4 linked regions of the Arabidopsis thaliana genome follow. The protein of the gene in region 2 interacts with the protein of the main gene of each other region in a pairwise test. Each region holds a gene or a part of one and is shown on either strand. Other genes may lie near its edges. The genes, in order: KNAT4, OFP4, BLH2 and BEL10.

Evidence for each region.
Region 1: the proteins of OFP4 (region 2) and KNAT4 interact in a two-hybrid assay, tested with the Arabidopsis thaliana proteins (one large-scale study listed by BioGRID).
Region 3: the proteins of OFP4 (region 2) and BLH2 interact in a two-hybrid assay, tested with the Arabidopsis thaliana proteins (one large-scale study listed by BioGRID).
Region 4: the proteins of OFP4 (region 2) and BEL10 interact in a two-hybrid assay, tested with the Arabidopsis thaliana proteins (one large-scale study listed by BioGRID).

What each region holds. Positions count from the first base shown.
Region 1 is NC_003076.8:3,506,793-3,515,322, forward strand, and holds KNAT4 (homeobox protein knotted-1-like 4), read left to right. Parts: upstream 1-3,040; 5' UTR 3,041-3,615; coding exon 3,616-4,188; intron 4,189-4,679; coding exon 4,680-4,800; intron 4,801-4,996; coding exon 4,997-5,181; intron 5,182-5,515; coding exon 5,516-5,647; intron 5,648-5,805; coding exon 5,806-5,942; intron 5,943-6,141; coding exon 6,142-6,175; 3' UTR 6,176-6,949; downstream 6,950-8,530.
Region 2 is NC_003070.9:2,122,709-2,128,173, reverse strand, and holds OFP4 (ovate family protein 4), read left to right. Parts: upstream 1-2,271; 5' UTR 2,272-2,372; coding exon 2,373-3,320; 3' UTR 3,321-3,498; downstream 3,499-5,465. Other genes in the region: AT1G06925 (endonuclease/glycosyl hydrolase), read left to right, coding at 1-23, 137-470; AT1G06923 (transcription repressor OFP17-like protein), read right to left, coding at 776-1,089, 1,174-1,372; TRFL7 (TRF-like 7), read right to left, coding at 5,260-5,316, 5,406-5,465.
Region 3 is NC_003075.7:17,366,131-17,375,839, reverse strand, and holds BLH2 (BEL1-like homeodomain 2), read right to left. Parts: upstream 6,926-9,709; 5' UTR 6,668-6,925; intron 6,662-6,667; exon of another isoform or gene 6,485-6,661; 5' UTR 6,418-6,484; coding exon 5,239-6,417; intron 4,393-5,238; coding exon 4,001-4,392; intron 3,530-4,000; coding exon 3,469-3,529; coding exon of another isoform or gene 3,445-3,468; exon of another isoform or gene 3,013-3,444; coding exon of another isoform or gene 2,953-3,012; exon of another isoform or gene 2,705-2,952; coding exon 2,117-2,704; 3' UTR 1,829-2,116; downstream 1-1,828. Other genes in the region: CP1 (cysteine proteinase1), read left to right, coding at 1-158, 339-574, 668-808, 894-1,148. UniProt on the Arabidopsis thaliana protein: Transcription factor that establishes leaf shape by repressing growth in specific subdomains of the leaf. Negatively regulates knox homeobox gene KNAT1/BP expression.
Region 4 is NC_003070.9:6,808,302-6,816,062, reverse strand, and holds BEL10 (BEL1-like homeodomain 10), read left to right. Parts: upstream 1-2,999; 5' UTR 3,000-3,220; intron 3,221-3,305; exon of another isoform or gene 3,306-3,859; intron 3,860-4,068; exon of another isoform or gene 4,069-4,135; 5' UTR 4,136-4,208; coding exon 4,209-4,952; intron 4,953-5,040; coding exon 5,041-5,426; intron 5,427-5,531; coding exon 5,532-5,592; intron 5,593-5,679; coding exon 5,680-6,105; 3' UTR 6,106-6,298; downstream 6,299-7,761. Other genes in the region: AT1G19710 (UDP-Glycosyltransferase superfamily protein), read right to left, coding at 61-215, 308-579, 664-806, 876-1,143; AT1G19690 (NAD(P)-binding Rossmann-fold superfamily protein), read left to right, coding at 6,501-6,727, 6,813-6,905, 6,986-7,064, 7,153-7,231, 7,322-7,361, 7,431-7,565, 7,648-7,761.

The sequences.
Region 1 (8,530 bases), on a different chromosome or scaffold from region 2:
GTTTTTGTGTCTTGTACCGATATGACTTACACAATATCTTTAATTAACCAGTTTTATTGTTAATAACATGCATTATACAACTTTGAATATGGATTTTGAGACATTAACGATATGAGTGCATGCCATTATATGGTCAATCTTGAACCAATTAAAATTTGTTTTATATGTATATCTATTTTCACATAACATATTGTTTTACCAAAAAAAAATTTATTATCTGCTTTTGAAAGAAAACATAACCCAGTTATCTCTCTCAATAAATTTCATCCAACAACATTCCCCCCTCTCAATGCGTATATTTATTAAAAACTGGATAGTACATGATCGCGGTGAACATGAAAAACTCTATAGTATACATTAATATAATGGAACTGTTAGGGCGTATTAGACTTACTAAAAAATTATAAGATATAAGAAAAAGAAAAATCCTATGTAAGAAAATTCTCTCAAACAAAGGAACTGTTAGGGCGTATTAGACTTACTCTAATACGCTATAATGTGAATTACGAACAATAATCAAAGCAATAAGAGAAAGTAATTCACTATAGGAACAACTTTGGCATCGTTACAAAACAAAGTGAAAGATGAAGAGAAAACATCCTTTACGTTCCATCATTTTCATCCACAAACCTGACAAAAAGCTTCCTATGTTCTTTCTCTACTCTATCTTTATAATAAAATAAAGTATTTATGTTCTTTTAACTCAATGTTTTGATGTATATGTTGTCTATATTGTTAGGTTCCTTGTAATTTTCATCTATCACAAGCCAAGTAGTGTACAACAAAACAAATTAACAAAAGAAAGCATCATCATTATGAGCATCATCCTCGTATTAGATTCACTGTTTCTACAAACATCTTTTAGGAAAGAAAAAAAAAATTCCAACAAAACTGAATATCTTTATTTTGCTGAGATGACATTGTTTTGTCTTGTGTGTTAAGTTCTTGTGTTCAATATTGATAAATATAATCAAATGGCGATAGTTGACAAGTCACCAGGCCAGCGATCAAATACAATCTCTACGATCATCACATACTTATTCAAGGCTAGCTGCGTCTATATATTATAAAATTTTCATATAAGTTCCATATTAGTTTTTGTTTGTTTGATTGGCAAATGCACGGTTTTAATAATCTTGTTAGTCAATAAAGTTTAAAAATCAATCGCAAACCACTATAGATTAGTGTTTCCATAAAGAAGATTCATTGGCTTATGTATCAATGACTATTTAAAAAAAAAAAAAAATTGTAAACTAGACAAGATTTTTGCTAACAACCCCAATTATCATTAACTAATTAATTAATGATTTTGTTTCTGTCCCTAATATAGACAGCACAAGTTGTTGATTAAGATTCTTTGTACCACCCTACTCTTAGCTTTGGTCCTAGACAATCAATATAATTAAGTAGGTCCAAATCCAAGGCTTGTTTATGTGAATGTGAAATAAGAAATAATCGGTGATTTTTATTCAAAAAAGAAAAAATAATCGGTGGTGGTCGTTCAATCAGTAATCTCGAGGTCCGAAAGCACAATGCATATCACGAGTTCAAGATTTACTGGTGATTACAATTAACTTGGCACATTGTAATTACAAGATTTTTATATATATATTTCATGTTTCACTAACCATAAGGTAAGGAAATAAAAATAAAAATGAAGGAGTGATTAGTTGGAGCCGTAGGCCGTAGGGAACTTCGTCGTTTCTCGTAGAAAAGAGTGTAGGGACGACAAGAGTTGTTGTGAAATGGACGACTGTGATCGTTAATGTGACTCTCTTTGTCCAATCATGTGTTAGCTGATTCCACACGAAACATAGACCTTATCACACTGGAAGTTTACTTGACACATGTCTCTACTCTTTTATTCATCATCACTCAGACCTTACTGTTTGGATATTTTGGTGGATTCAACTTTGTCGTTTAGTCTCATTCATCGGCTCTCTCGCGTGTATCGCACGCAAATAGAACACTCAATGGCCAAATCTTGGAAGCAGTCAATGGCCACCAACCTTCAATAAATTACCACTAATCATTGGATAGTTCTAAGAAATGTCTACTTTCATATATTAATGCCAATTTTACCGGTTAAATTTTGACTTGACAACAAAAGATTTAACTTTTCTTATGAATACAAAATCAAAGAATAAATTTAAACTGAACAATTGGTATACGAGATAGAGAAACCAACTTCGATCAAAGTATGAGTAACGAAGCTTGATCAAAGTATGAGTAGGTTAAAGTTAAATTACTTTTAACAAGGTAGAGACAGGAGTGGTCGTGGATATAGGTTAGACTAGTCTAAGTGATGGAGCTTAATTAGACGGTTACGAATTGTTTTGCATCACATTCCTAATAAGTACATTAGATGGGTTTGATACAAATCGATGGATATTTATATTGTATTGCTTCCAATTCTCATATTAAAAACATTTGGAACCACATGCAAAAATTTATATGCTTGTAACATAAGTATATAATCTATTTATTTGTTTATTTTGTCAATGCTTAGTGATCAAATTAACAAAGTATAAGTATATGTATGTTTCTATAATATCTGAAATATTTATTCCTAGATAATATGTGTATGCCAAACATTTGATATCGTGTATCTGTAATCATGTTTTTTTAGCAGAAGTCATGAGTTCATACCAAAATTAATATGCAAATTTTATGTTTTTTCTGATGATGGGATTAAATTTGTCGTACTTTTTTGATAAGACAGCAACTATAAGCTTAAGTCAAATTTCTGAAATTGGTCCCCCACACCTCTAAATTTTTGAATCGTTTGTATTTTTTTTGTTACTAAATACAAAATAATGTAAAATTTAAATTTGTACGGCTGGATTCTCTTATCCGATCTATCGCATGCCAATTTCTTCAGGGACCACAATTAGAGGAAATCGTTATCACGACACGTGTCCTCCGATATTTTTGGCGCCGAGTAGTGACGTCATTATTAATGGTCCCCTCCTTCCTTGCTTTTTTCCCATTCGTCTACTCTCCTTTTTCTTTAACAAATTATCTTTTTTTTCCTCCGATATTCTTCAAAATTTGTTTTAAAATCCTTTGCAGATTTGTGTAATTTATTTACTTTTGCTTGGTACCAAAAACAAATAGAGCAAAAATGAGCAATTCTTTTTGATAAGCAGAAAAAAATGTTAGGAACGAATGAAGAAAAAGTGATGCAGCTATTTCCTTTTACTGTCACTTCGTAATTCGTATCATTCTTTTGCCGTCAACTTCTACCATCTCTTTTTTTTGTAAAACGATAAAACTTTTTGTTGTCGCTGTAAATGTTAGTAATCTGACCTAATCCCAATTTATTATGGATCACCAAAAAGCTGGTACTCTACAATTTAATAATAAAAGAAGAAGAATAAATATAGGAATAAATCGTCTTTTTTGGTGTAAGCTACATATAAAATTCAAACCGTCAAACACACATACACATCGAAACCCTTATATTTCATTTTCTTTCTGTTTTAGAGAAGAAAGTTTCTATAATTGATTGATAAATCTGAACATCAAAGCTAAGAATTTCTCTTCTTTTTTTCTTCTTAATTCATCTTTCCCTCTCCGAAACAGAAATTCAAAAACAAATTCAACACGAAAACGATGGCGTTTCATAACAATCACTTTAATCATTTCACCGACCAACAACAACATCAGCCTCCTCCTCCGCCGCAACAGCAGCAGCAACAACATTTTCAAGAATCAGCACCCCCTAATTGGCTCCTCCGCTCCGACAACAACTTCCTCAATCTCCACACAGCTGCCTCTGCCGCCGCTACAAGCTCCGATTCTCCTTCTTCCGCCGCCGCTAACCAGTGGCTCTCACGATCCTCATCCTTCCTCCAACGAGGCAACACCGCAAACAACAACAACAACGAAACATCCGGTGACGTCATCGAAGACGTTCCCGGCGGAGAGGAGTCAATGATCGGAGAGAAGAAGGAGGCGGAGAGGTGGCAGAATGCGAGACACAAGGCGGAGATACTGTCTCATCCACTATACGAGCAACTTTTGTCGGCACACGTGGCGTGCCTGAGGATCGCAACGCCGGTGGATCAGCTTCCGAGGATAGACGCACAGCTTGCTCAGTCTCAAAACGTCGTGGCTAAGTACTCAACTTTAGAAGCCGCTCAAGGACTCCTCGCCGGCGATGACAAGGAGCTTGACCACTTCATGGTAACTTAACTTCTCTTTCCTTCTTACCACTCTCAATTCCCATTATTTTATTCCTTTTCTTTTCTTTTGGAAAATAAAATCACTAAAAATTACTTTCATCTTTTATATTTAAAACGGTTTGACAAATTTGAATATTTTGTTGTTAATTATCTCCAAATTTATAAAAGTAAATTAGAGAAGAAAATCAAAAATTCTTTCTAGACTTGTACTTTGCACCGACAGACATGATCAGTGGGTTGGATAAATCGTCAGTTAAAAATTTGGATATTAGTTTTGCACAGTAGTAATTTGACAGCATAAGGTTTATTTTGAGATAGATTTTTGCTGAGTGTAAGTGATTGAGCAATTTCATTGATTGCAGTTACGGATACAGTGATCTGACAAAAACTAGTTTGTCACTTTCTGTATCTATATCCCATATTTTACTGTTCATGGACGTATTTGTATGATTGTATCTGTTGTCTGAAAGATATTTCCATGTTTTTGTGCAGACGCATTATGTACTATTGCTTTGCTCTTTCAAAGAACAACTGCAACAGCATGTTCGTGTTCATGCAATGGAAGCTGTTATGGCCTGTTGGGAGATTGAACAGTCGCTTCAAAGTTTTACAGGTTAGTTTTTAAGACTTCTACTAAATTATCAACTTTAATTTGTCATTTAGCTGTTATGGTAACTTTTGTATTTCACTATAGTATTGTAAAAGACACAAGGTTCTTTTATTTTATTTCTCATTTCAATGCTGTTTTTTATATTTAGTACCTACTTCTTGAGGTTTTAATTTAACACTTGTTTTGTTGAATGAGACAGGGGTATCTCCTGGTGAAGGCACAGGAGCAACAATGTCTGAGGATGAAGATGAGCAAGTAGAGAGTGATGCTCATTTGTTTGATGGAAGCTTAGATGGGTTAGGGTTTGGTCCTCTAGTTCCCACTGAGAGCGAGAGATCTTTGATGGAACGAGTCAGACAAGAACTCAAACATGAACTCAAGCAGGTAACTAGTGAAATATACTATATCCATCATTTACTACTACACATATATAAGATCAATGATAACAAATCCTTCACACCTTATTATATATCGTTGTAGCTAAAGTAAATATGCTTCTATTTAGTCCAATCAACCAAGAACTTGTCAAAACTTTATTTTTGATCTACAAAAAGACTCAAATGAATTTATGATTTTTAATTGTCTGAAGCTTGTTTGATGAGTTGTCAGTTTGCAACATCTACATAGTACTTACACGCACTTATATGCATGAAAATTGTGGTACACACTATATATAGTTAGCTTAACTAATGATATTGACCCATGTTTTTGTGAAAAGGGTTACAAGGAGAAAATTGTGGACATAAGAGAGGAGATACTGAGGAAGAGAAGAGCTGGAAAATTACCAGGAGACACCACCTCTGTTCTCAAATCATGGTGGCAATCTCATTCTAAGTGGCCTTACCCTACTGTGAGTTCCCTCTTTCTACTTCTTCAGTCACTCGCATGAACACGCCTCGTGGGTCTTTACCTAGTTCTGTCCCGAAAATCTTTGACTACATCATTTTTGCAACTTCATATGCTTTCTCAATCTCCTAAGTTTTAAATGAATCATGTAAATTTTGACAGGAGGAAGATAAGGCGAGGTTGGTGCAGGAGACGGGTTTGCAGCTCAAACAGATAAACAATTGGTTCATCAATCAAAGAAAGAGGAATTGGCATAGCAATCCATCTTCTTCTACCGTCTCAAAGAATAAACGCCGAAGGTACTTTGCACCAACATAACTTTATAGGAAGAGTATCCAAGAAAAGACAAAATATGATCACACGATAAGATACAATCTCTGAAATATATATATGTTAGGTGTGACAAAGTTTAGCTTGTTTATGTATGGTTAGATTAATGTTTAGTTACATTTTCAAGATATATGGAGTCATTAAATTTGGAGGGTTTTCTTTATGAAGCAATGCAGGTGAAAACAGCGGAAGAGACCGTTGAGATCAAGCTTGCATGTAGAGATCCAAAAGCTTTATAGAAAGGTGGAGGCATGAAGACAAAGAATTCTTACACAACAAACGTAGGACGTAATTTTGTGCCAGTACATGGTATGGCTTTCATATTTGGTAATGATTAGGGCCACACAAAATTAAACCCCAAAGCATGATTTGTAATATGAGGTTTTAGATGGACTTTATGATAGGATCGTCAGTCTTCACTGCCATCTCCATTCTCCACCATCAATCCATCATTATATCTTGTGAATAACATGGAAATTTCTCGTTATGCATTTAATTTGTGCAATCATTGGCCGTAATCTACACAAATATACATATTAATTTAGCTTGAATATATTATCTCAATTAATGGTTTCAATTTTTTTGTTTTGTTTTGTGAGTGGAACCACTTTTTATGTGGAATTGTTAACCCTAATGCCAAAATCTAAACTCTGCGAAGGTCGCCAGCAAACGAAAGAAAGAGATTATCTCCGCCGTTGTCAAAATTATTAAAAGGGATTATAAAGTTTTTCAATTTGGGCCCCTTTCCTGCGTTTTCTTTATTGTCCATTATGGGCCTCATTGTCTCTAGACTCTCTACCTTACAGGGTTTGCTCGCCGACGTTTCATACATAGTCCTCTTGTTTCTAAGGATGCCGATTAACACTTTTCATTTTTATCAACAAACTGGCTTGCAAGGGTTTTGAACCTGAGTGATGACCTACCATTTCTATCCATACTATAATCAGATTTTTTTTTGTTCTTTTTTATAATCAAGTTGGTGAAATAATTAACAACAATACTAGCACAAATCATTAACATAATGGTTCATACCTCATAGCCATATAAGATCATGAAAAAGTTATAGTTTTAGAAGTTTGTTTTTATTTTTAGTTAAAATTTAGTTTTTCCAATTAAGACCGAGTTATTAGTTAACAATGTAAAACTTAAGTAAATGCGATTTCTTTGGATTGGTTTGATTCGACTACAGTAAAACATAGGTCTTTGTTTTGTTTTAACCATAATAAAATCAATTGGATTATAAATAACTTTAGTTCTAATTCCGTTTACACATTTAGGTTTGCTTCAATTATAATCCTTCATGGAGATAGATAGCTAGATTAGTGGTGGTAATAATGTATGAGTTGAGAGAGTCTCTTTTTAGGTAGAATAAGATTGCACATGACGTGGCATTGTGAACGTTGTGGGGTTTTGTGATTGGTCTTGTCTTCTACTTACAAGACAGTCATATGAGAGGAGCATTTTAGAGCTGGCCCAATCATAAAAGACAGCTAGCTCTCTGTGACTCTGTGTTATCCGTTATGTTGCAGCAGCGACGAAAACAATTTGCTTCTTCTTCTTCTCTTTTGTCCTTATAGATAATACTTTTCTTTTCAAAATCAATTCACAATTGCTGAAGATATCAAAGATTCGTTATCTGAAAGTGACGCAGAAAAAGTACACAAAATAAAAGTGTTAGTGGGTAACTGGAGGATAGATAGAGAATATAAACAGAGAGGACGACAAAGAAGTTCAACATTCTCTCTAGTTTATCGCGCGCTTCTTTCTGTTACACGTTAGCCAATCTATGAGGAACATTTTCTGATTTTTTTATATGTAAGTATATTAGGATAATCATTGATACAAATATTCGATTCATCTGGTGTTTCTCTAAAAGATTAGGATATTTATGGGAGAAGAAGCTCTTCCTCGAACACCAATACGAGGAAATAACGTTCAATGAAGTTTGACATTACATCTTAATATTATATTTTAAGATATTTTTTAATATGCGATGAAGGAATTCATCTATGTAGTACGGTAACAATTGCAAGTTGAGGACGTCACGATTTCATTAGTTTTTATGGCATATCTATATTCGTCGTTGGGGACACGATGCAAGTATATTATTTTTTTTTGATAAAGCAAACTTTACAGTTGACAAAAAAAAATTACACCTTTACAATTTACAAAATATATGTTTAAAACATATCATAATACATTTGTTAATTAGAAACACTATGGATTTATATAGAAAATGTACTGGACTAATGGTGGATACAAATATCTAAAATGGAAACAATCAATGACGATGATTGATATTGAATGTTGTGACTCGATAGGAGATCAAGTCTAGAGATAGTTGTAAGGGAAAAAGTAGAAAAGAGTATAATACACTAAAAATGTATAGTAGACAAAACGAGCAAGATTTGAGGCATCAGAAGAGAAAGAGACATGTCGACCGGTGGCAAGTGGTAGGTATCACTATGTAACAACACAAACGTCAAAACATGTGAGAAAGCGTTTTTGCTTCGCTTTTCTTTTTCAATTTTCCCCACTTCACTTCACTTCACACAGT
Region 2 (5,465 bases):
TTCTCTGCTCCTTATCTCTTCATGTTTCTTTGCAAATTCATCGACTAATTGCATAGATAGCCTACAACTTATATATATATATATATTCTGAATTTGTTTTTTTCTTTTCTTACCTTTAAGGCCTTGAATGATGGAGGGAGGCAGCTGTGGCCACAATATCGGTCTATTGGGAGATAAAGGGGTGTCCGGTTCCGGATGGCTATGATGCTCTTCGGGTAGGTCCGTCTATAAAACGTAATTTGAGGAAGTTTAACTACACTGGCCCTATCACCATCACTGCCGTTGGCGTACTATCAGAGGTCCCTCGAGATTTCCTTGAAACCACTGGAGAGTGGAGTCAGTCTCTTTCTCAAGTCTTAGTTGTTTCTGAAACAGGTCCCACATACATGGTTTCGCTTTTCATTGACTCCCCTGATTCTAAGATTCCACGTCCACATAATACCTATGAAGACGACGAGGCTCCCCCTTGATTATTTTCCGGAGAAATAATGCCTACTACCATTGGTGAGGGAAGAAGCAACCAAACCTTGAGATTTCTCATCTTTTGAATTCTGGGGTTTACCGGAAATCTTGGTAAATAGAAATGTGAAATGTACCATCCTTTAATAATCTTTTCTTATTATCTTTTATTTCCGTGATTTAATGTAGTAAAATCAAGTTCCTGTCACTTGAAGTTGTACAACTTACAAAAAAAAAACAGAACACAGAGAAAGCTACTCTGTATCCAATGCTCTGTGTTATCATGCATATATTATAAAACCCATTTCAATGATCTTTAATCGTCATGGTCGCTTGGAAACAGGTCAGTGCAGAGCTCTCCATAGAATCTAGTCACAAGATCAATGAAGATTGGACTATTAAGATTCTTCCAATAATAGAGAAGCTCTTCCATGTCCATCAAGTCATCTATTTTCCCATCTTCAACGAACATATGGATCATATAGTTCTCGAATCTTCTGCAAGCCTCTTTCACACCATCTTCCTTTAACATATGTCTTTGACTCGTCCTCGCTTTCTTGTTCCTTTGCGTCATAGCCAAAGGAAACATCTTTCTTGAATGCAGAAGCTTGGAATCATCGATCAGACTAGCTGCAGTGGCATATTTGTAGAATAAAATTTAGATCAAAGGTACTCTATAAAATCGACAATAGTTACAAAAGAAATTGTTGTTACACGGGGAATTTCTGGGTCTGATCTGGCTCATCCTCTGCTCCTTATTAGTATTGAGAAAACAGAGACGAGACAACAAAGAAGATGATGAAGATTGTGTGGTATTGACATTGCGAAAACGAGCATGGAAGAAGGAGATGAATCTGTTGCATGATTTTGAAAGCTTTGATTTCAAGCTAATCAAACTTGACTTCAGTCTCATTCTCGATCCTTCCGAAGCTGATTTATTCTTTGTTGTTGTTGTTGTGGTATAATGTGTAGGTTTGGGAGGGTGGTTCGAGTTACGTGGGTTTCACGTCTTTTCCTTTGACACGAAGTCGTGATGGTGGAGTCCCATGAACTTGAGCCTTAATTTGAATGTTTTTTGCAAATTTAATTTTAAGCTATAATCTGACCTAGATATTGTCACATTATGAGTAGGAGGAGTGGGTAAATATATCGGTGTTTACTGGGATCAGTAGTAGTCGTTAGGGTTGTGACTGACCCCGCTCGTTTGTCGAACCCTAGCTTCAAATATGAGTCGTTGACCCAAAAAAAAAAAGCTTTGGTCAAACACACACGTGTGAGGTAGGGAGACCACAAGCTAATTGGTGAAAAGGAGACGACACGCCGAGTTTTATGCAAATATGTCTTTTATTATTCTCTACAGTTTCTTCTACACCATTATTGTTATATACTATGACTATGGCTATATTAAGAGATTGGACATGAACCTGAAATCTTGTTTAACCTCTTTTGTTGAAACCCTTTGTCACGTTCGCCGAATTATGTTTTGGAAGCAATTTACCAGAAATATTCTATTTAGTCTAATTGATACCCACCAATCGACCTACTACCGACAGACAATTTTTGAGGACACTTTGTTGCTCAATTTTCAAGTCTAATAAAACCTTTTAATTCTCAATCTCATCTACGTACACCTCAATTATTTCGATTACACCGGTTTAGATAGGATATTTTATTTAAATTTGATTTGATTTGGTTTAACTTGGTTATTCGGTTAGGGAGAGAAGCCGGAATGAGTTTGGTACAAACAAAGACATTCTATGAAGTGGATCCCAATTTTGTTCCGTCTTGTCCCTTTTACATCCCAATTCTACACTTTCTTCTCTCTTTTATTTGTCACATAGAAACTCTGCAAACTATACATATTTTTTTTCTCTCTTTTATCTGAGAAGATCACTTATTTTTTGAAATTAGAGATGAGGAACTATAAGTTAAGATTGTCAGTTATGAGCCCAAGTGAATGGTTCCACAAGCTCAAGAACATGACAAAACCTAGAAAAAAGCATTCTCTTCCTCTTTACTCCATAAACACTACCAAGAAGAGAAAACCTTCCTCTGAGTCAAAGTCTCTTCCTTACTCTTCAACTTCTTACTTCTTCAATAGGTCACGCTCACGCACATCCTTTGAATCTAGGATCCTTCAAATTTCACCAAGAAACTCTCTTCACAACATACAGAGCAAAAGAAAGACTGTTTACAAGCCTTCTCCTCCTTCCTCTTCTATTGTATCTGCAGGTTTTAACAAAACATTTCATCAAAGCCATGATTCTCTCTCTGCCTCTTCCAACTTGAAAGTCATTTCTTCTGAAGATGATATTATCATCGACATGAATAATAGAGATTTCAAGAAGAAAACTTTCAAAGAGATCACGAAGTTTGATTCAACGGAGAAAGCCTGTCGTGCAAGTAACCGAACCAAGGAAACACATATACCTCATCATCTCTCTGTGAAGGTCAGTAAAGAGAAAGAAGATGAAGAGGAAGATGCATGTCGAACCAAGAAGAAACATCAGAAAACATTAGTTTCTAGTGGAAGAAGATCATCAGCTAAATCTCCAAGGATAAAGCTCAGAGCGAGATCTCCTAGAATTCAAGTCTCGCCTCGTAGAAGCAAATCAAGATCACAGAACAAACAAATTCTTGACAGTTTTGCAGTAATCAAGAGTTCTATCGATCCGAGCAAGGATTTCAGAGAATCAATGGTGGAGATGATAGCAGAGAACAACATCAGAACCTCTAACGACATGGAGGATCTTCTAGTATGTTACCTTACCTTGAATCCCAAGGAGTATCATGATCTCATTATCAAGGTTTTCGTTCAAGTCTGGCTTGAAGTCATAAACTCTACATTTGCATCGAAGTAGAATGAACTATGATCAAAAGCTTTAAATCTCTGGTTAATTGTAGTTCTTTTAAAGAGTTTGATGTAGCCGTGGAGATTTTCTTTGCAAGACCAGTTTTTGTGTTGTCTGAATAACGTGATAAAGACATATAAATCACTCGCTTCCTTTTCGTCTCTGGTTATGGTTTGTGAAGGTAATAGAACATACTTATTCAGTAATTTAAAAATCAGTAACTAAAACATACTTATTCAATACATGCCTCATGGATGATAATAATTCAATTTTAGAATTAAAATGTGAAACAGTATGTGCTGCTAAATGTTTATGTGATATTTTCAGAAACAATATACAAATCCAAAGAGTTTTATTATATTAGTTTCATGTAGTGATAAACCTTGGATTAGATTAGGATTGATGGAGTTTAGTCATGGTAACGACTTATGTAACAAGAGCGAAAATGTCAAAAGAAAAAAAAAAGAGTCAAGAAAAGGCCAAAAGTGTAGTGACAAGAAGCCACACGGAGACAAGTCAGAAACCCATCAAGTACGGAGTAGAAATGGGTTCCAGTCCTAATGAGTAATGAAGCAGGAAACATGAAAATGGAGCCTGAATAACATAAATCGCTAGAGAGAGAAACTAACACTGACACAGAAGAGTATATGGTTAAAGAGGAAAAGCAGAGAGAGAGTTTTAAGAACCTAAAGGCTCTTTGTTGTCGTGATGAAGAAGATGAGGACCACTGTTTTGCTGCTGCTTCCCAATGCCCATCTCCTCTACCATCTATTTATACTGGTAGTACTTAGTACGGTATGGACAGACATTTCTTGGGAATTGATCAAACCACAAAACATAAACATTAAATGATGAAACACCAAACTCGATTTTGATATATAGTGCACGGGAAAGGCCGGTTTAATACAAACTGTAGGCCCATTAAAGCGAAGCCCCATTATCAACGCTATATATTTGAGGCGTTGTGATTCTTATTCTTCTCTTTCAAACAAGGATTTCGAAACCCTAATCGATATTGAGGTCAAGATTCAAACAACTCTGCTTATCTCTGAGGTAAATTTTTCGAAACCCTAATCGATATCGACTCATTGCGTAAATGAAACACCAAGACAGTAGAAAACGTAATAGAAAATAATATGAAACCGAAATGAACTGCTCGTCTACATTTGACTAAGGAACCTAGTTTACTTAACAAAACCATTCACTAGACAATCATCGTCGTACGCTATTCTATGGGTCTTAAAGACAAAAGGCTACAAAATGTTACCCAGTTTTTTTACAATACGTCATTGTTCAGCAGTTGTTGGTACTCGTCTACTCACAAAAAGGTCTGATGCCTACTCCAGTACTCCAATACCTATAAGCAAAGAATGGAAAATTGATGGAGCAATTATACGTAAGATTAAGAACAACGAGAGATATAATTATGATTTTAATGCCGAAAAGAAAGTAAGAAGATCATCAGCTATTAAAACACCAACCCTCCTAAGCTCAACTAACCCATTATAAAGTTAGACTACCATGATGGGTGAGCATTGATTTGTTTACCCATCAATTTATCACATCAGTGGTCAAATATATAGAAATCATAAAATCCATTATTCCTGCATATTCAATTTCTCCCTTCTACAGAATATGACTCGTTGACATAGTAAAAAACCAACATTGATAGTATTTTATATGCTGTATTAAGAAGCATTATACATACGCTCATAGTTCTACAGGTAGAGTTTACCTTCAAAGCTAACTTGTGTAAGCAACTATTGGCTTCTTAGAACTTGGCTCACTATTTGTGAGGGTTCATATCATTACCCCTCTTCTACTCTACACACTTTAGTTTCGGGGAACTGAGATGCTAATGCAGCAGTACTTTATTGTTATTCTCTTCTAAAGGTCACCAGGGTGACGATTGTACCTTATAGACTATGACTATGTTTAACTCACCTACTCAATGACGGCGCTCTTCACGTCTCATCTCAACTCGAAATTTATCTTTAATATCACCCTGTGAGAGAATGTGTCTATTATTAGAAACAAGATAAAATTAACTCCGAGAAATGAATAAAGAACAGAAAGATAAGTGAAGCTGTGTACATTAGTTCTGCGCACTAGAACTGGATTCTCATCTTTGATCCGTTTCCAGTTTGCACCATA
Region 3 (9,709 bases), on a different chromosome or scaffold from region 2:
GTACCTCGGGGCAAGAACTGAGCCCGCCCGCCGCATCGCTAAGGCCAAGAATGTCAACCAGAAATACTCAGCCGCTGTAAACGGCAAGGAGGTTCCAGAGACGGTTGATTGGAGACAGAAAGGAGCCGTTAACCCCATCAAAGACCAAGGAACTTGCGGTAATTACCAATTATGCTTTTTCCTTTATAATCAAACTGATATTATTAACGAACGTCTAATATTTACACATGGTTCGTAACAGAACAAACTTTTGTGTTATATTTTGTGTAACTTAACATGTAACACATGCAGCATGTGTATTGATGTTAATATTTGTGTTTGTGTATTGATCAACACAGGAAGTTGTTGGGCGTTTTCGACTACTGCAGCAGTAGAAGGTATAAACAAGATCGTAACAGGAGAACTCATATCTCTATCAGAACAAGAACTTGTTGACTGCGACAAATCCTACAATCAAGGTTGCAACGGCGGTTTAATGGACTACGCTTTTCAATTCATCATGAAAAATGGTGGCTTAAACACTGAGAAAGATTATCCTTACCGTGGATTCGGCGGAAAATGCAATTCTTTCTTGGTATACACTCAAAAACAGAGTTGCTCTGTTTTCACTTTATTTTCAAGAATTGCAAAATCTGATTATTTTTCCTATCTCTTTGTGTTTTTGCAGAAGAATTCTAGAGTTGTGAGTATTGATGGGTACGAAGATGTTCCTACTAAAGACGAGACTGCGTTGAAGAAAGCTATTTCATACCAACCGGTTAGTGTAGCTATTGAAGCCGGTGGAAGAATTTTTCAACATTACCAATCGGTAAGCGAACCGACATTGATTTGTGTATTAAGTAACAAAACCGGGTTTTTGGATTTTTATTAACCTGATTGGTTTTGGTTGGCAGGGTATTTTTACCGGAAGTTGTGGTACAAATCTTGATCACGCGGTGGTTGCTGTCGGGTACGGATCAGAGAACGGTGTTGACTACTGGATTGTAAGGAACTCTTGGGGTCCACGTTGGGGTGAGGAAGGTTACATTAGAATGGAGAGAAACTTGGCAGCCTCCAAATCCGGTAAGTGTGGGATTGCGGTTGAAGCCTCGTACCCGGTTAAGTACAGCCCAAACCCGGTTCGTGGAAATACTATCAGCAGTGTTTGAAATCAAGACGCTCGATAAACATTTGGGATTCTTATAACTGAATTTAATCTCGTATTGTTATTATTGTTTGTATGTATAGTATTTCAACAACAATTTCAAAAATTAGTTGATTCATCATAAGGATATAAAATTTATAAATCCTTATGTCGATCAATTTCTTTTTTATTCAAAGAAAGATTGTTTGCTTGTTTTATGTATTAAGAGAAATATAATAAAATGATATATTTCTTAAGAGCCATTGGTTTTCACTCCTTCATCCAACTAACAACATAACAAAAGTCGGTTTCTTCTACTTCTCCTCAATCTTCTTCTCATCAATTTTCATTATGCACCTCAAAAACAACATTTGTTTTTCTTCTTGTTTTCACCTGCTCTAGATGTTAACTAAGTGATCTGATAAAATAAGGTTTAAGCCGCATGTTCATAAATTCATTTTAGTCATATCTAGAAATGTCGGTGAGAAATTTATAAAAAACTGCATGAACACTGAACACATCTATAGAAACTTGTGTGATATCTATACAAAAACAGATACGCTAAAGCCCAATAAAAGAATTTTGGGCCTATCACTTTCCTTATTGATGGCCCAAACAATTGGGTCACCTCTTCAAGCTTGTATCATGGATTCATGGTAAGTGAATCTATATGATTGTAAATCAGTGATTTCGAACGATTTGGGACTGTTATGTTATAAAGTGAAGGTTTTCATTTTGAACAATTAAAGAAATCTCGAGAAATTAAATAACCAAGAATACAGATATATGAAAACAATAAGTCGTACAACGTACATTAGTTTTCGAAGGGATTTACGTATCGTTTTCTTCTCTTCACGAGATAGAAAAAAAAAAGCAGAGGAGGGCTAGACTAATGTATTGTTTTGACTTTTAAGAGACAAAAATAGATTTTCAATTAAAATAAGTAAGAATGGAAACTATAATTAATTAATTAAATGGAGTGACAAAAGCAAACTAAAAACCCCCAAACTCTCTAACGCAGAAAGAAGCGTCTTTGTCAGGCATGTTTCCAGCGTGGCGTAAACCAAGCGTGAGAGACACGTCACCAGTAGGGTTTGTCCCAAACCTTATAACGTTAACACCATCCATGTCAGCATCATCGAACCCACCTACACTTTGTTGACACGTGGCAACGGCGGAAAACGCGTCTGAGCCACCGTAACGAGAATTCAAGTCGTCAGAAACAGCGGCAGGAGCGGCGGCGTTGGAATAAGAGGAAGGGAGTAGAAGTGATGAAGCGTCGTTTTCGTAAGCATTAATGTTGGATCTTAGACGGTGGCCTGTCGCTACTGCTGCGTCTGCGTCTGATGCGTCTGGTGCGGTTGTCGTTGGAGTTTGTGAAGTGGTCCGAACGGCAGTGAAGTTGCTTTCATTGTTGTTGGATTTTGTGCTCTTGTCGTCGTTGCTGTTTTTTGTTTCTTGATCTTCTTCGTTCTCTTCTAATTCCTCTTCTCTTTCTCTTTCTTTTGATTCTTGTTGGTACATTTCTTCCACCATTGGTTTCCATAAACGAACCCTAGCATTTATGAACCAATTTGATACCTGAATAAAAGAGACAAAATTTTCACTAGTTGAATCATTATAATATCGAAATAAAATTGAGGGCTCTTTTTGTTTATTTGTCATTTGGTTATTTAATGTAGGGATACAAGAAATTGAGGGTTTCTTTGGGACAATTGAAAGCTGCAAACTTTGATGTACTTGAGGAAAAATGGACCCTTTTGCGTCTTTAATGTCGATCTCTTTCTCTCTCTCCTATGTTTTTGTATATATAAATATGCTATAATAATTTAAAGACGAATCCCAAGAAAAGCTAATGGTGAGTGGAAGGCAAAACACATGGTGTTCCTCTGTCATATCACAAACCAAACAAAGATAAGAAACAAAAACCATGCAATAGAGTCATCTCAGGCTACTAGTTAGTGTACTCGTACATGGTGTCAAATAATTTTGGCTTAGTCAAATTCGTTTTGAGTAACTACTAGTATTTATTATTTGATGTTTATAACAAGCATGTATATGTTTATGAAAATTATGAAATGGGTTTGGGTGATAAATTAATATTGTAGTTATATATATAACTGTGTACTATTGTGGAGTTTATTTATAAACATAGAATGATGGGTTTAAAACAAATCTTTAAAACACGCGGTTAAGAATTCGTAATCCAGACTGTGGTCATTTGATTGTCTGATTAAGAGTATACTCAGCTAACACAACTTGGTGAAGTAGAGGCATATGTATTTGATTCATGGAGATTTTAAATTTCATTATATCGTTGGCTATATGTATATATGTAGACTGACCTGATTTCTGGATAAACCAGTCTGTCGAGCCAATAGGTGTTTATCTGCATCACTTGGATACCTGAGAAAGAGACCAGAAAATGACATCACTCTCTATCTTTGCCCTAATAAACTCAATGTAATTTATTTTCTTTATCTTTTCACTATATACAATACAATCAAGTAGACGCAAGAAAAAGTACAGACTTTTTCCTAACAAGGGCGTGAGAATCTAACAGACAAAAGAAAAGTTGATGATTACATATCATCGATCCAGTTTTTTTTTTTTTACTTGGCTTTTTTTGTTTTGTTTTACTCTTAAAGCAATTTGTCAGAGAGGTGAAAATAGTACAAAAACACTACTCTTTTGCTTTATTTCCATTTTTTCGTTCACTCTCGTTAACAATAAAATAGCAAAATTCTAGAGACATAGTACTAAAGAAAGTAGAGGTGAAATAACGAGAAAATAAATACTTTTTCTCAGCTTTTTTCAAAATTCAGTTTCTCTATAATAATTAATAAATAACGAGAAAGAAAGAAAAAATTGACTTACGGGTGAAGGAAATGTTCGAAGAGCCAAGCTCTAAGTATATTGACGGAGCGTTCAGGCAAACCGCGTTGTGGCCGCCAAGCTTCTTGTTCCATCATACCCATTTGATGAAACGCACGGTTCTGACGCAAACTTTGCTCTAGCAAACGCAAACGCGGAGTTTCACCTTTTGTTAACCCGGAAGAAGAGATTCCCGCTGCATCTTTGTCCCCAAGAAGTTCGCAACTCTGCTTAAGCTGAGCCGCAACTGCATCTTTAAGGCATCTAAAATGTCTTGACATAGCTTTTTGAGCCAATGCGGTGTACGGTAATGCCGCACCGTGGCCCATTACTATGTCGAAAGAGTTCACAACCATCTGCATTTGCTCGCAGTAATGGTTGTACCGTCGGTCCACCTGCCAACGAAACAAAACTATACATTATACAATCCATAAATATCAATATTTGCCTTTTTCTTTTAATTAATGTTATTGTTAACTCGTGTGTGTTGTGTTATATGTTCACGTGATTATTATTTAGTGTAGATTTTATCACGGGAACCTATGCTTGTGTACGAGCATCATCTAATAAATAAACTAATGAGATTAATTAGTTACCTTTAAACGAGACAAAATAAGAAAATAAGATATTATATAGACAAATTATTGACCAGAGAATATACTTCAATGTTTGCGCAATCCTACCAACAGCACATTTTATCGTATCCTCGAGCATAAACTAAAATATTTATTTCTAGTGAGAAAAAAGCAAGGTCAACTAAAAAGTAGATAATTCAATTATGGGTAAACAAATAAGTAACGTCAAGGGTTAGCTTTAGGACGTAACTGGAGAGTAGCTTATATGGAGAAGGAAACGCCAATTACATAATTAATCGTAATTATTTAATGCATTTTCTTTGATTAATCGATTCCACCAAACGCTAAGCATCAAAATATTCAATATACTTTCTAATACGACCGTCACACGAGCAAAATGATTAAATTAATTTTAATTTTAAACAAATGATGGTAGGATTGCGCAATCAAACTCTACCAAAATAATCAAAAATAAGTAGTTAATCGAGAAAACAAAAGACCAATTCAGTCATATCAGGTTTCTTGTTTCTTTGTCATAACTCTTGGATCAATTTATGAATCTTATCGAAATGTAACGAAAACAATTTTACGTAAAATGTATGAACTAATATCACTGTAGAGTATAGACAAAGTCAAAATCAATATTAAAAGTTAATATGAACATACCTCTTCAAGCATGGTGAGTAGTTTCACTTTCCTTCTTTGATGCTCAATCCGATCAGACGCCGATAAAGGAGGATGCTCCTTGTTTGCTCCGGCCGACGAAGGAGAGCTGCCACCACCATCACCACCGCAAGTATTAGGGTTTGAGCTGTTCCCAAGTTTGTTCTTCTTCAAAAATCCTCTTCCAACACTACAAAACTCTTCCAACAACTCTTGCGCGGCCGTTGTGTACCTCGAGTTTCTTAAGATATTGACCGCTGCCATGGAAGAGGAAGAAGCAGCCGGAGATGATCGGAATTGGTTTAATACTTGATGGTGATGTTGAGAAGAATTAGCAAGAAGAGTCTTGAATTGATTGTATTGATGATGAGGTGATGCGTTAGAAGAATTGGCTCCGTAGTAAATGTTTCTATACTCTTCCGCTTTTGCTGCAGCCTCTAAAGACGATGAGAGAGATAAGGACAAGCCTTGTCCTCCGTGTCCTCCGCTGTTTTCCACGTGGACGGTCCCAATCTCCGTTTGGCTGTTGTGATGATGATGATGATGATCGGGAGAAGACTGCCACGTCGATATCTGCTGGTGATGCTGATGTGGAAGCTGATGCATAGACATATGATTAGTGTAGTTCTGATGGTGAGTTGTGTTGGTGGATGGACTTGGAAGTAACATGTGAAGAGTTGAAGAATTGTGGTGGCTCCTTGGGGAAGTTGTGGATGACGGAGACGGTGGTTGTTGCGGTGGCGGTGGATTCATCAAGAATAACTGCATGGCGGCTGCGGTGGCGGTGGCTGAATCCGTAGCATTCATAGCCGGAATATTCTGATGTTGCTCCTCAAGCAACTGCCTATTTGACCGGAAAGATTGGCCGAGGTCGAGATCTCTTCCTCCACCGCTGCTTCCGGGGAAATTAAACATTTCGGATAACATACCGGCTGATTCGTAGACCGGAATCCTACCTCCGGCGACTGAAGATTCCTCGTCCATCTCTACCCTTTGATGCTCTTGCTTCTGCTGAGTTGTTAAATTGGGAGAATCTGATCGGTCGAATCCATTAGAGAAGTTGAAGATACCTCCTTGGTGTTGATTATGATGATGATGATGATGATAATCTTGGGACATAGAATTATTGTGAAAAGTCTTCAAGAGAATTGTAGTATTAGGAGAAGTTTTAGTTATTCCCATATCAATACTTCAATCTTTTTCTTCATGATATATGTTAATATCGTTCCAGAGCTCTCTCTCTCGGATCCTGTAATGATTCAGACAAAGAATTTAAAACATATGTAAGTCAGAAACTAGGTCTTACGCTGTTTTTTTGTCCATCTATCTACATCACCTATATAACTGATGATGAACAAAGACATAGAGATATATATATGTAGGTATCTATATATATGTATGTATGCAAAGAGAGAGCATAAGAAGATAATACCTTTGGAGTTTGTTGCAGAGAAGATAATTGAGCTTAGGTATCGTTTTCTCTCTCTCTTTCTCGCTTTCTTTTTCTGGACTCTCCTTTTCTTTCTTACTAAGAGTTTATTCAGAATTCACAAATATTATAAAAGATATATATATCGGAAAGAAAAATATGCGAGAGAGAGGTCACTCTTCTTTCTTCTTCGTCACCCTTTTTAGCCCACCAATCTTCTTTATTAGTTGGTTTCCTATATATATATAAAGCTGCTCGTGCAAAAAAAAAATCGGTGATTTTTTAAACTATGGTTTCTTATGAAAGATTTAGTTGAAAAGGTTAATAGTAGGATTGAAGGATAGAAATTTCTAAGATGCGTCTTTTTTTCACGTAAATGTCTTCTGCCATTAACAATTTGAAGATGTTTATTTTCGTAATTTTTTTTTTTTTTTTTTAAGTGAGTACAAGGTCATATCTCAATGATACGAACCACCACCATAAATTTTAGTAATACTATCGTGACAAAAAAAAAAAACATATATAATATTTAAAATACTGCCATATTTATATTTCCCATAATACCCTCATCTGTCATTCTTCTGATTTCACTGGACTGACTCGCAGATAGGGTCAATTAAGTCCATATTTACGTAACTGGTCATTGTTGGTGCATAGCTCCCCAGTCCTCATCAGCATAATTTAAAGTCTACACATTTATTTTAAATGTAGCATATCTCTATTATCTTAACCTGGAATACCCTAAAAGATCTTCGTAAATAAAAAACTTCATAAAAAAAAAAAAAATCTTCTTAACGTTTGTTAATTTTTTTTTTCTACTACATCAAAATTGAATTTACTTACTTTATGCGAGAATATGACTCTCTAAAACTCCGTACGACTGGTCGTAATCACAACACCACAACAAATTAATCTCATATAATCAATTGATTTTAAGTTCTAACCACAAGTTAATTATCCCTTCCAATCGACTTTTCAGGGAAATGACAAATTAGTTACATATTAATTAGCATTTTCTAATGATAACATAATATATCCCACATACATATATACCAATACAGTGTTAAATAAAATGTAAGCTGTATTTTCTAACAATTAGCATGGCCGAAGTAATAATACTCATGCAAAATAATGCAAAGGCTAGAAAAAGTATATATTCAAACTATTTTTTCCGGCCATCGATCTTGTGATCATAAATTAAATTTTACTACTTGAGGGTCGAGTACGATGTAACTATGAATGGCTTGAAGGATAATGTAATGAAATTCGGTGTGCATTTTTTTTGTTTGGTGTATCAAATAAACAATAAAAGATGAGAGTTCGCACGAGCGGGAGTTGTGGTTTGGAACGTGTGAAAGGTAGGAGGACGGTTCAGAAGTCAAGTGCTCAAAATGTTAATTAGGTTTATGTGGGGGATAATCTAGAAAACCGATGAAATCGACACATAACCGTTTTTTTGGTTCAACAGCTTTGAGTTCGAGTACTTGAGTTTCTTTTTTTGGTATGGCTAGACTATATTTTTAATTCCATGGTTAATATATAGATATCGGAATTTCTTTCTTAAAGCGGTGACATATTTCGTATCACGTCTGTCTTGCTAAAAAAATAGCATTCCCAAATTCGAGTTTTGGTGCATATCCCACAAATGGTTAGAGAAAGTATTAGATATCGCACCGTAGGCATAAGTCCATATTGGGATAAATAATTAATGGAAATGTCGAAAGCACAAGTGTAACTCCACTTATATAATAACATTGAATTTTGTTTATTGTGTGACACCATGTGGGAATCTTTCATGTCAAAATCATATCAGCACGCAAATTCTGTTATTTTTTATTTTTTATTTTTACACAGTTAATTCATGTCGGAGTAGTAATTAAAATAAAATAAAATAAAAACACTCTGTTTTTCCATTTTAATATTCCCTAGAAACGTAAAATTTCATAAAAATACGTTGCAGGTTTTATTTTAAAATTATAGCTACAAAAGTTTTATGTTCCAACTACAAAACCTGGAATGACAATTGACAGCTTAACCTTTCTACCTTCCTACCGATATTTTTTCTCGTTTTCTATTTTTTCCTTTCTGAAATAGAAATGGTTCAATCTCTCTCACGTGAATCCCACCCTCCTTTCACACGTATGCACAACTATCTGTTACGTGCCGAACCTTCCTTTTTCGTACGTGTGGAGAGGATCTTCTTCTTAGGCATTTATACTCTTTACCCACCAAAGCCAACTTGTAATGGATCCTTTTTCCTCTGCTTTATCATATCTTCAATGGTGTCAATTGTCTAACCTTCAACATATTTATTAGTCTCTTCATTTTTATTTCGACACGTTTCCGCTTTTCGACCTCACATGAACATTCAATTTCATAGTATCGAATATTTTGATTGATTTTTTAATTTCTGCGTCTTATAACCAAAGCTATGTAATGTGTTTAACTGTTCATTATCATTGAAATGTGTTCGTAGTTTAATGTAACCGGTGTATTTTGGATAGCTCTTGGATCAGAAAGTGTGATCATGTTGTGAGGTTGAGTCATTTCGACAACACAAAGGAGACTAATTTACTTGCTATGATCAGTAAGAATGTAAATCTTTAGTTGATTTTTTTAAGGTTTTAGATGAATGTATAACCTATAAATTTGGTCCTACGAAAAACAAAAAACATGAAAGCAAAGACAATGAGTCCATAAAACAAAATGTTTGCTACCAAAAATCACAAACTTATAAAGAAATATTTACACAATTAGTTTTTCACGAAAACCAAATGATTATATATATACAAACTCGTGGTGATAAATTATGATTAAATATGAAATGTTATTATATATTGCAATGATCTGTTATATCTGTCGTGATAGGTTTCATATTACCTGACTATAACAACGTTGATTTCCAGATCCTGTTTTCAGACAAAAGGATCATGAACTAAGTTATTGTTGAAAAGGCTTTCATCGGGTTTGGTCTTTTAAGTACGTTGAAGGAAAAATTATGAGTTATCATCCAGATTCGATAAAATTAGAGTTAGGTTTGATTTG
Region 4 (7,761 bases), 4.7 Mb from region 2:
TTTGCAGATTATGATTCTTAAAGAAACTAAGGAAGAGAAAGAATGTAAGAAATGACTAACTATTAATAATGCCAAATAGTATGTCTTCATTCCTCACTCCAAGAGATTCTCGAACTTGCTCACGGAGAACATTCTTGGCGAAACTATCTTCAGCTACTTCCATCAACTCCTTGCTATTTCCTAGGTGCACGACATAAGTTTTAGGCATTTTAATCCTGTGTTACAACAATAAAAGAATAAACACTGTTAAGCTTATGACAATAACGTAAACTAATATATCGCAAGACTCTACAGAGAGGAAACAGACCCTAAGCGATCATGAGTTCTGTTCTTCCAGTATTCAGCTGTTGCGTGCGAATCAATCATAGCACCTGCAACAAACGGAAGGTGCTTGACTAAATCCGGTTTGAAATAGTGACCTCTCATCTCATGAATCCACCAGAGTACTTTAGGAAGAACTTTAGGAACATTGTCCTTGAGAACTGCATCAAGCCATTTCCCAGCAACAGCAGTGTTTAAAACAACCAGATCAGACTTGAGAGCTGTATCTATAGCTTTCTGACTCTTTGCTGATATCACCTGAATGATTCAAAAAAGATTGATCACTAACAATTATGATACGAATCAAAGAAAAACAATGGAGGTGGTTAGCTAAATCTGAACCTGGACTCCTCGATCCAACATCTTGTGTTCTAGAACCTTGATCACTTCATCTTCTTCAACTGGTTTCTGATTCGTGATCCAAACAACTTCAGATTCAACTCCTCTAAGCAAAAACGCCAATTCCATTAACAATAAAGGTCCACCTAAAATCATCACTTCAAGTTTAGCCATAGAGATTTTGACAAGAGAGTAACACGATCACAAAACATCACCTGAGAGCGAGAGTTCATGAGAAACAAGTAAAACGAGCTTTGATTTCATGAACTCGAGAGGATTCAACGATCCAGAAACCGATTGGATCTTAATGTCACTGTTATCTTCCTTCTCTCGGCTACATCTCTTTCCACTAACACTACAGGAATCAAAAGTAGATCTCACGAGAATCATTCCTACTGTTGATACAGATAAAACCAATAGAATCATCAGTGGCCATCTCTTCTTCTGCAATGTTGCCCACATACTCGTTGATGGCTTCGCCATTGTTTCTCTCTACAGCTTAGAATCACATCCTAGGGTTTACACAGTAACAATCGATCTCAGAACTTTCTAAGGATCTGTCGTCAGTGATGGAGAAAGCTTGGAACGAAGAAGTTTAGAGGAGAGATTTAATGGGGAAAAGCCGCTAATCAGTGTTGACTCTTTGCAGAAGTTTGCAATTCACGCCGTTTTTGTTATTTAGAAGGAAGTTGATTGCCGTTTCTCAGCAGGCCCCCGATGGAATCCTCTCTTCATATTTATAATGGGCTTTAAAAGGCCTATTTGCTAAAAGCCTAAAACTAAACTAGTTATGATGATAGTTAATGCATACTATATGGTTTTAATTCTTTTTTTTTCTTAAGCTAAGCTAGGCTTCAGATTAGTTTTGCTGATACAATTTTGGTTTGGTTTTGTTTGGTTCTAATAATGGAGAGCATAATGATTTCGATCCATAGAATATAAATGTTACAAACATGAATTTTAGTGGTGATGATCCGTCTTCATATATGGTCCAACAATGTATGTGGCAATAAATTCTTTTACTTTTTGTTACACGGCCATAACTTGTGGCTATTTATTATAAAGTTTTTTTTCGGATATATCCATGTAATTAATATATTTGACAATTGGCAAGAATTATTATACTTCAACATTTTCCTCCAAACCAAAGGTTGTTCATTTCTTACTCACACACATTTTCCTCGTTTAGCATCATCGATTCATCCTCAACTTTAAAATATGATTTACAGAACCATACGGTTTTAAAAATAATTACATCATTAATAATCTAAATTTTTAGTAGATTTAATCAATCTCTCACCAGCTAACTGCCTAATTAATTTATTTTTAATCATCATTATAAATCAAGATCCACGTGGAAACAAAAGTCAATATCATCATCTCTCAAAGACTCAAAACACATGAATAATAATTTTCCAACACAATGGTACTTGCCAAATGATTTTGTGTCGGCTGCTCTAAATCCAATCTCCAACAAACCAAAACGAAACTACTTGTTATTTTAAAAATCAGAGGAAATGGATTATATTATTAGTGTAGCTATAAAGATAATCTTTTACGTATTCTTCATTGTGGAATATGCAAATACAAACATGTAAGTGTATAACTAAAAGGTTTATAACAAAAGAAATAAAAAGACAAGAGAACTTAGAATAAAAATTGGGTATAACAGAAGAGTAAGGAGGGACTCACCAACTGGTTGTTAAGTCATTTAATCCATCAATTAAGCAATTGAGCAGACACACACCCACCTTTGTTTTATCTTCTTCCTTAAACCAGCTTATCAGGGTCAGTTTTGTAATCTCATATTCCTACCTATAATGACGTTTCTATGTTTTATTTGATGGAGTTTAATTTCCGCTACCATGCATAACTAAAAGTATATCCGTTATATCAAACATTTAAAGAAAACCTCAAAGATATTGAACTACAAAGTGCTCAAGAAGTTCTATTAAAAATGTATCGAACTTTAACTTTATGATGAAAGCAAGGTGATAAGAACAAATAGTTTAAAAAAACATTTTAGTTTGAAATCCAAATCTAGACTCTATAATTTGTGGCAGGTAATAATTTCACTATTTTGGAGCCTCACGTACACAAATCAGGAAGTCGTTAAAAGTTTCCCACGATACCATGGTAATGTACGCATTATAGATTATTTCGTTTAAATAGTTAGATTTGGTTTTTTTTTTTAATATACAAATACTAAACTTTTCATATATAAACACTCATTCCTTCAACTTTTTTCTTTTGGTTGTATTTAGTTAACTTATACGGAAAAGTAGTATGAGTCTCAAGTCAATGACAACACAACATCATTAAAGTATAATACAATCATCTATAAAAATCCATTTATTTGTGTGTGTGGAATTGTTAAGTTTTGTATGTTAAAGTCGTCATAAGAAATATTATCACGTAATCAAGAAAAGAAAATTGGTGATTTGTAAGCTCTCACGTGTTTCTCTATGAATGGTTGGCACACAAAAAAAATCATATTAATTTATCTTTACTCTAAGCATCAGAAACAGAAGCTTCTGCCGCAAAAAATTAAAAATTACAGGTAGCGGTTGTCAAATTTTTCCGGTAGTGATCATTATTTTATTTTATTGTTGATATTGCATAATAATATTTTTAAAAATTGGGTTGGTGTCTAATGTCCCAATGATAAGTTGGGTTGGTTTTATTGTTCTTGTGGACTGAAAAAAATTTGTTTATTTAAGAATTTTGCAATTATTAATCGCCTCTTTCTCTATCTCTCTCGGGATTGGGTCTCAAATCTTTTTTTGTCTTCAACTGTTCGAAACTCTTCTGCTTTTGTGTTTCCTGATTCAGCCACATCCACACTCACAAACACAATCTCTAGGTTTTTTTTCTTCCTTTTAACTTTGATTCTCTCCCTCAGGTAGTTTTTAAAAATTCAAGTTCTTGATTCTTGATTCTTGATATGATTAATCTTGTACTGTGTTTCTTGATTATTATTTTTTGTATACTTTCTGTGTTTTTTTTCTCCCTTGCTTTTTGGAAATTCTCCTACAAGAGATGAAATCATCAAGACACTTTACTTCTTTATGTAATAATTGAATCTTCTCTGCTTTTGACTCACTACGTTGAGCTACACAATTTCTTTTTACTCTGCATTTTTTTTTCCAACCTCAAATTAGGGTTTTTTTCTCCTCTCAATTTCACCTCCATAGATCGGGTATTCCTCTACGATTACACAATTCCTGTATTGGGTTTTTCTGGGTTTCTTCAGTTCTTCACGAAAAACATTTGCTTTTTATCAAGAATTTGACTTTAATCCTCCGAATAATTTGGTCCGATTCTGTTTGTTGCTTTCGAAACTGTTTATGTATGATATATAAAAAAAATGGTTTGGTGTGAAATGATTACGATGTTTTAACCTCTCTTAGATTCCATCAGAAATTTTTAAAATTCCACACCTTACACGACTCTTCTTCCTCTTATTTTTTTGCAGGATCTCATTTCCCGACCAAACTCATCGAACTAAGAACTCACTGTAATAAAACTTTTAAAAGGTGTAAACACCAATGGCAGTTTATTACACAAGTAATGTCGGTTGTTACCAGCAAGAACCAATCTTTCTCAACCATCAACAACAAAACCAACAAGCTTCTTCTTCATCCGCCGCCGCTTCTTTCACCGTCACCGGCGGCGATACTGTTCGAAACGAGATGGTTTTTATCCCACCAACCACCACAGGAGACGTTGTAACAGGAAACGGTACCGTTTCAAGCAGCGATCTAAGCTTTCACGATGGTCAAGGACTGTCTTTGAGCCTTGGTACTCAGATCTCTGTTGCTCCGTTTCACTTTCATCAATACCAATTGGGGTTTACTAGTCAGAATCCTTCAATTTCAGTCAAGGAAACGTCACCGTTTCATGTGGATGAGATGAGTGTGAAGAGCAAAGAAATGATCTTGTTGGGTCAATCTGATCCTTCCTCTGGTTATGCTGGTAATGGTGGGAATGGCTTCTACAACAATTATCGGTATAATGAGACATCAGGAGGGTTTATGAGCAGCGTTCTGCGTTCTCGGTATCTTAAACCTGCTCAGAATTTGCTTGATGAAGTGGTTAGTGTCAAGAAAGAACTAAACCAAATGGGGAAGAAGAAGATGAAAGTTAATGACTTTAACAGTGGTTCTAAGGAGATAGAAGGAGGAGGTGGTGAGTTATCGAGTGATTCGAATGGGAAATCGATTGAGTTATCTACAATTGAACGTGAAGAGCTTCAGAACAAGAAGAACAAGCTTTTAACAATGGTTGATGAGGTAACTAACTTACATTTCATAAAACTACCTTTGGTTTATAACAGGATTGATGGTGATTTGGTTGTTGTGGATGTGTTAATGGTTGCAGGTAGATAAAAGATATAACCAATATTACCATCAAATGGAAGCATTAGCTTCATCATTTGAGATAGTAGCAGGACTTGGATCAGCTAAGCCTTACACATCAGTTGCTCTCAACAGAATCTCTCGCCATTTTCGTGCTCTTCGCGACGCAATAAAGGAACAAATTCAGATTGTTAGAGAAAAACTTGGGGAGAAAGGAGGAGAGTCGTTGGATGAGCAACAAGGAGAGAGGATACCAAGGTTGAGGTATTTAGATCAACGGTTGAGACAGCAAAGAGCTTTGCATCAACAGCTTGGAATGGTTCGACCTGCTTGGAGACCTCAAAGAGGTCTTCCTGAAAACTCTGTCTCTGTTCTTCGCGCTTGGCTCTTTGAACATTTCCTTCATCCGTAAGTGTTTCTTCTCTCACAAGTCACAAGTCACAATCTTTCAATCTCCCAGTACAAAACATTTAGAGAGACTCTATGTTTTTCTTCTGTTTTTTTTATTTGTAGATATCCGAAAGAATCTGAGAAAATCATGCTTGCAAAGCAGACAGGATTGTCAAAGAACCAGGTATAAACCAAGCTTTTGGTCTTCACTTAAAATTTGCACCCTTTGTGTTCTGCTTGAATAATTCTGGTTTCTCTGCTAAATGATTAGGTTGCTAATTGGTTCATAAACGCGAGAGTTCGTCTGTGGAAACCGATGATCGAAGAAATGTATAAAGAAGAGTTTGGTGATGAATCTGAGTTACTAATCTCCAAATCTTCCCAAGAACCCAACAGCACAAACCAAGAAGACTCCTCATCGCAGCAGCAGCAGCAGCAAGAGAACAACAACAACAGCAACCTCGCTTATTCATCTGCAGACACAACAAACATTGTCTTCTCATCAGAAACCAAACCAGATCGTGTTCTAGGCAATGATAACGACCCACAGCAACAACAGATAAACCGCTCATCGGATTACGACACTCTGATGAACTATCACGGGTTTGGTGTTGATGATTACCGTTACATTAGCGGAAGCAACCAGCAAGAAAGCAGATTCTCCAATTCCCATCACTTACACGACTTTGTTGTGTGATATTATCTGGTTCTTCTTGGTACAGAGGAGATGATTCTTGAAGCGCAAGAAATGTGCTTTTGCATTTTTATAGTATTAGGCATAATACACCCATTCTCTATGGATTATATAGTAGATGTGTAGGTTGCTTTTGTGTATAGTAGACTCTTAAGCCAAATATTGATATGTGTGTATAATAATATTCACGGTGGTATAAAGGATACTTGCAAGTGTGAAAAAATCTGAACTTGAGACTTTTGTGGTAAATGTTTCACGATTCTTTATAGTATATATCACTGGACTGTAAAAACGAAATGCAGTCCTTGATTTTGAAAACAAAACGGCACGTAGTTTCTTTGTACTGTGAATCAGTTAAAGTACAACAGACCTTGGAGTCTCTCAGTCCTCCGATTTCAATGGCGGTTTTTCAGTTACCAAGTTTGTCACCGGAGATTCCTTTCCGTTTTACTCCCACACCACTTAAATTTTCAAATCGTAGGAGAATCAACTTTTTCCGGCCATTATCAGCAACCGACGATTCTCGATCCGGTGCACCAGATCCAGAATCGCCGAACCAAATGTTCATTCTCGGGATGGGATTCGTCGGAGGTTTTTTTGCGCAACAGCTCAAAGAATCAGACTGGTCTGATATCTCAGTTTCTCTCCTTATCTCTATATCTATCTATTTTCATCTTTCTCCGATGGTGTTAACAATTTTGGAGGTTTAGGGTGGTTTCAGGGACTTGCAGGAGTGATTCTAAGAAGAAAGAATGGGAAAAGAGAGGAATTAATCTTCATCCATTTTCTGCAGACTCACCTGAGTATTTGTTTTAATCAGATCTTCAATGATGGTAATCTCTAAAATCTGAGTCTTAAACTCTTTTGTTTGCTTGTTAATCAGATGGAGCTTGCTAGATTCAGTGAAAGATTACACTCATCTACTCATTTCCATTCCTCCTTTAGCTGACATTGGTGATCCGGTTTGCTTTCTTCTCCAGCTTTTATCATTAGAGCTTAATGTGATTTCTTATTTGATAACACTGTCTTAACTGTGATGACTTCCAAAAGATGTTGCGGAATGTAGAACTTGTGAGAGACAAGCTTTCGAGTGGAAATCTTCGATGGCTTTGTTATCTCTCATCAACAAGTATTTTCCTTTTTAACTTTCCTCATTACATCAATGCTTCTGCTTCCACAGTAGACAGGAACTTACAATACTTCTCTTTGATGCTTGCAGGTGTGTATGGAGATTGTGGTGGTGCGTGGGTCAATGAAAAGTAAGTTTCTTTCTTCCAAGTTTCATCTCTTTTGTTCATGATAGATAAGGTCGTTCCTTCATATTGCAGTCATCTCCCAAATCCTAAAACTCAGTCAGCCAAAGTGAGATTAGCTGCAGAACAAGGATGGTTAAGCTTGGGTCGTGATCTTGGGGTTTCGACTCAAATACTTCGACTTGGGGGTATTTATGGACCTGGTCGAAGGTTGTTTACAGCTTCTGATTGTGTATGTAGTGCTTAAACAGGCTTTAAAACTGATTCTCAAAAGGAACGTTTCTTGCTGCAGTGCAATTGATACCTTGTTAAAGCAGGAGCGTTTGTCTGAAGGTCAAAAGAGAAGAGCGTCCCGTAAATTCACGTCGAGAGTTCATGTTGAAGATATATGCCAAGTTCTTAAAGC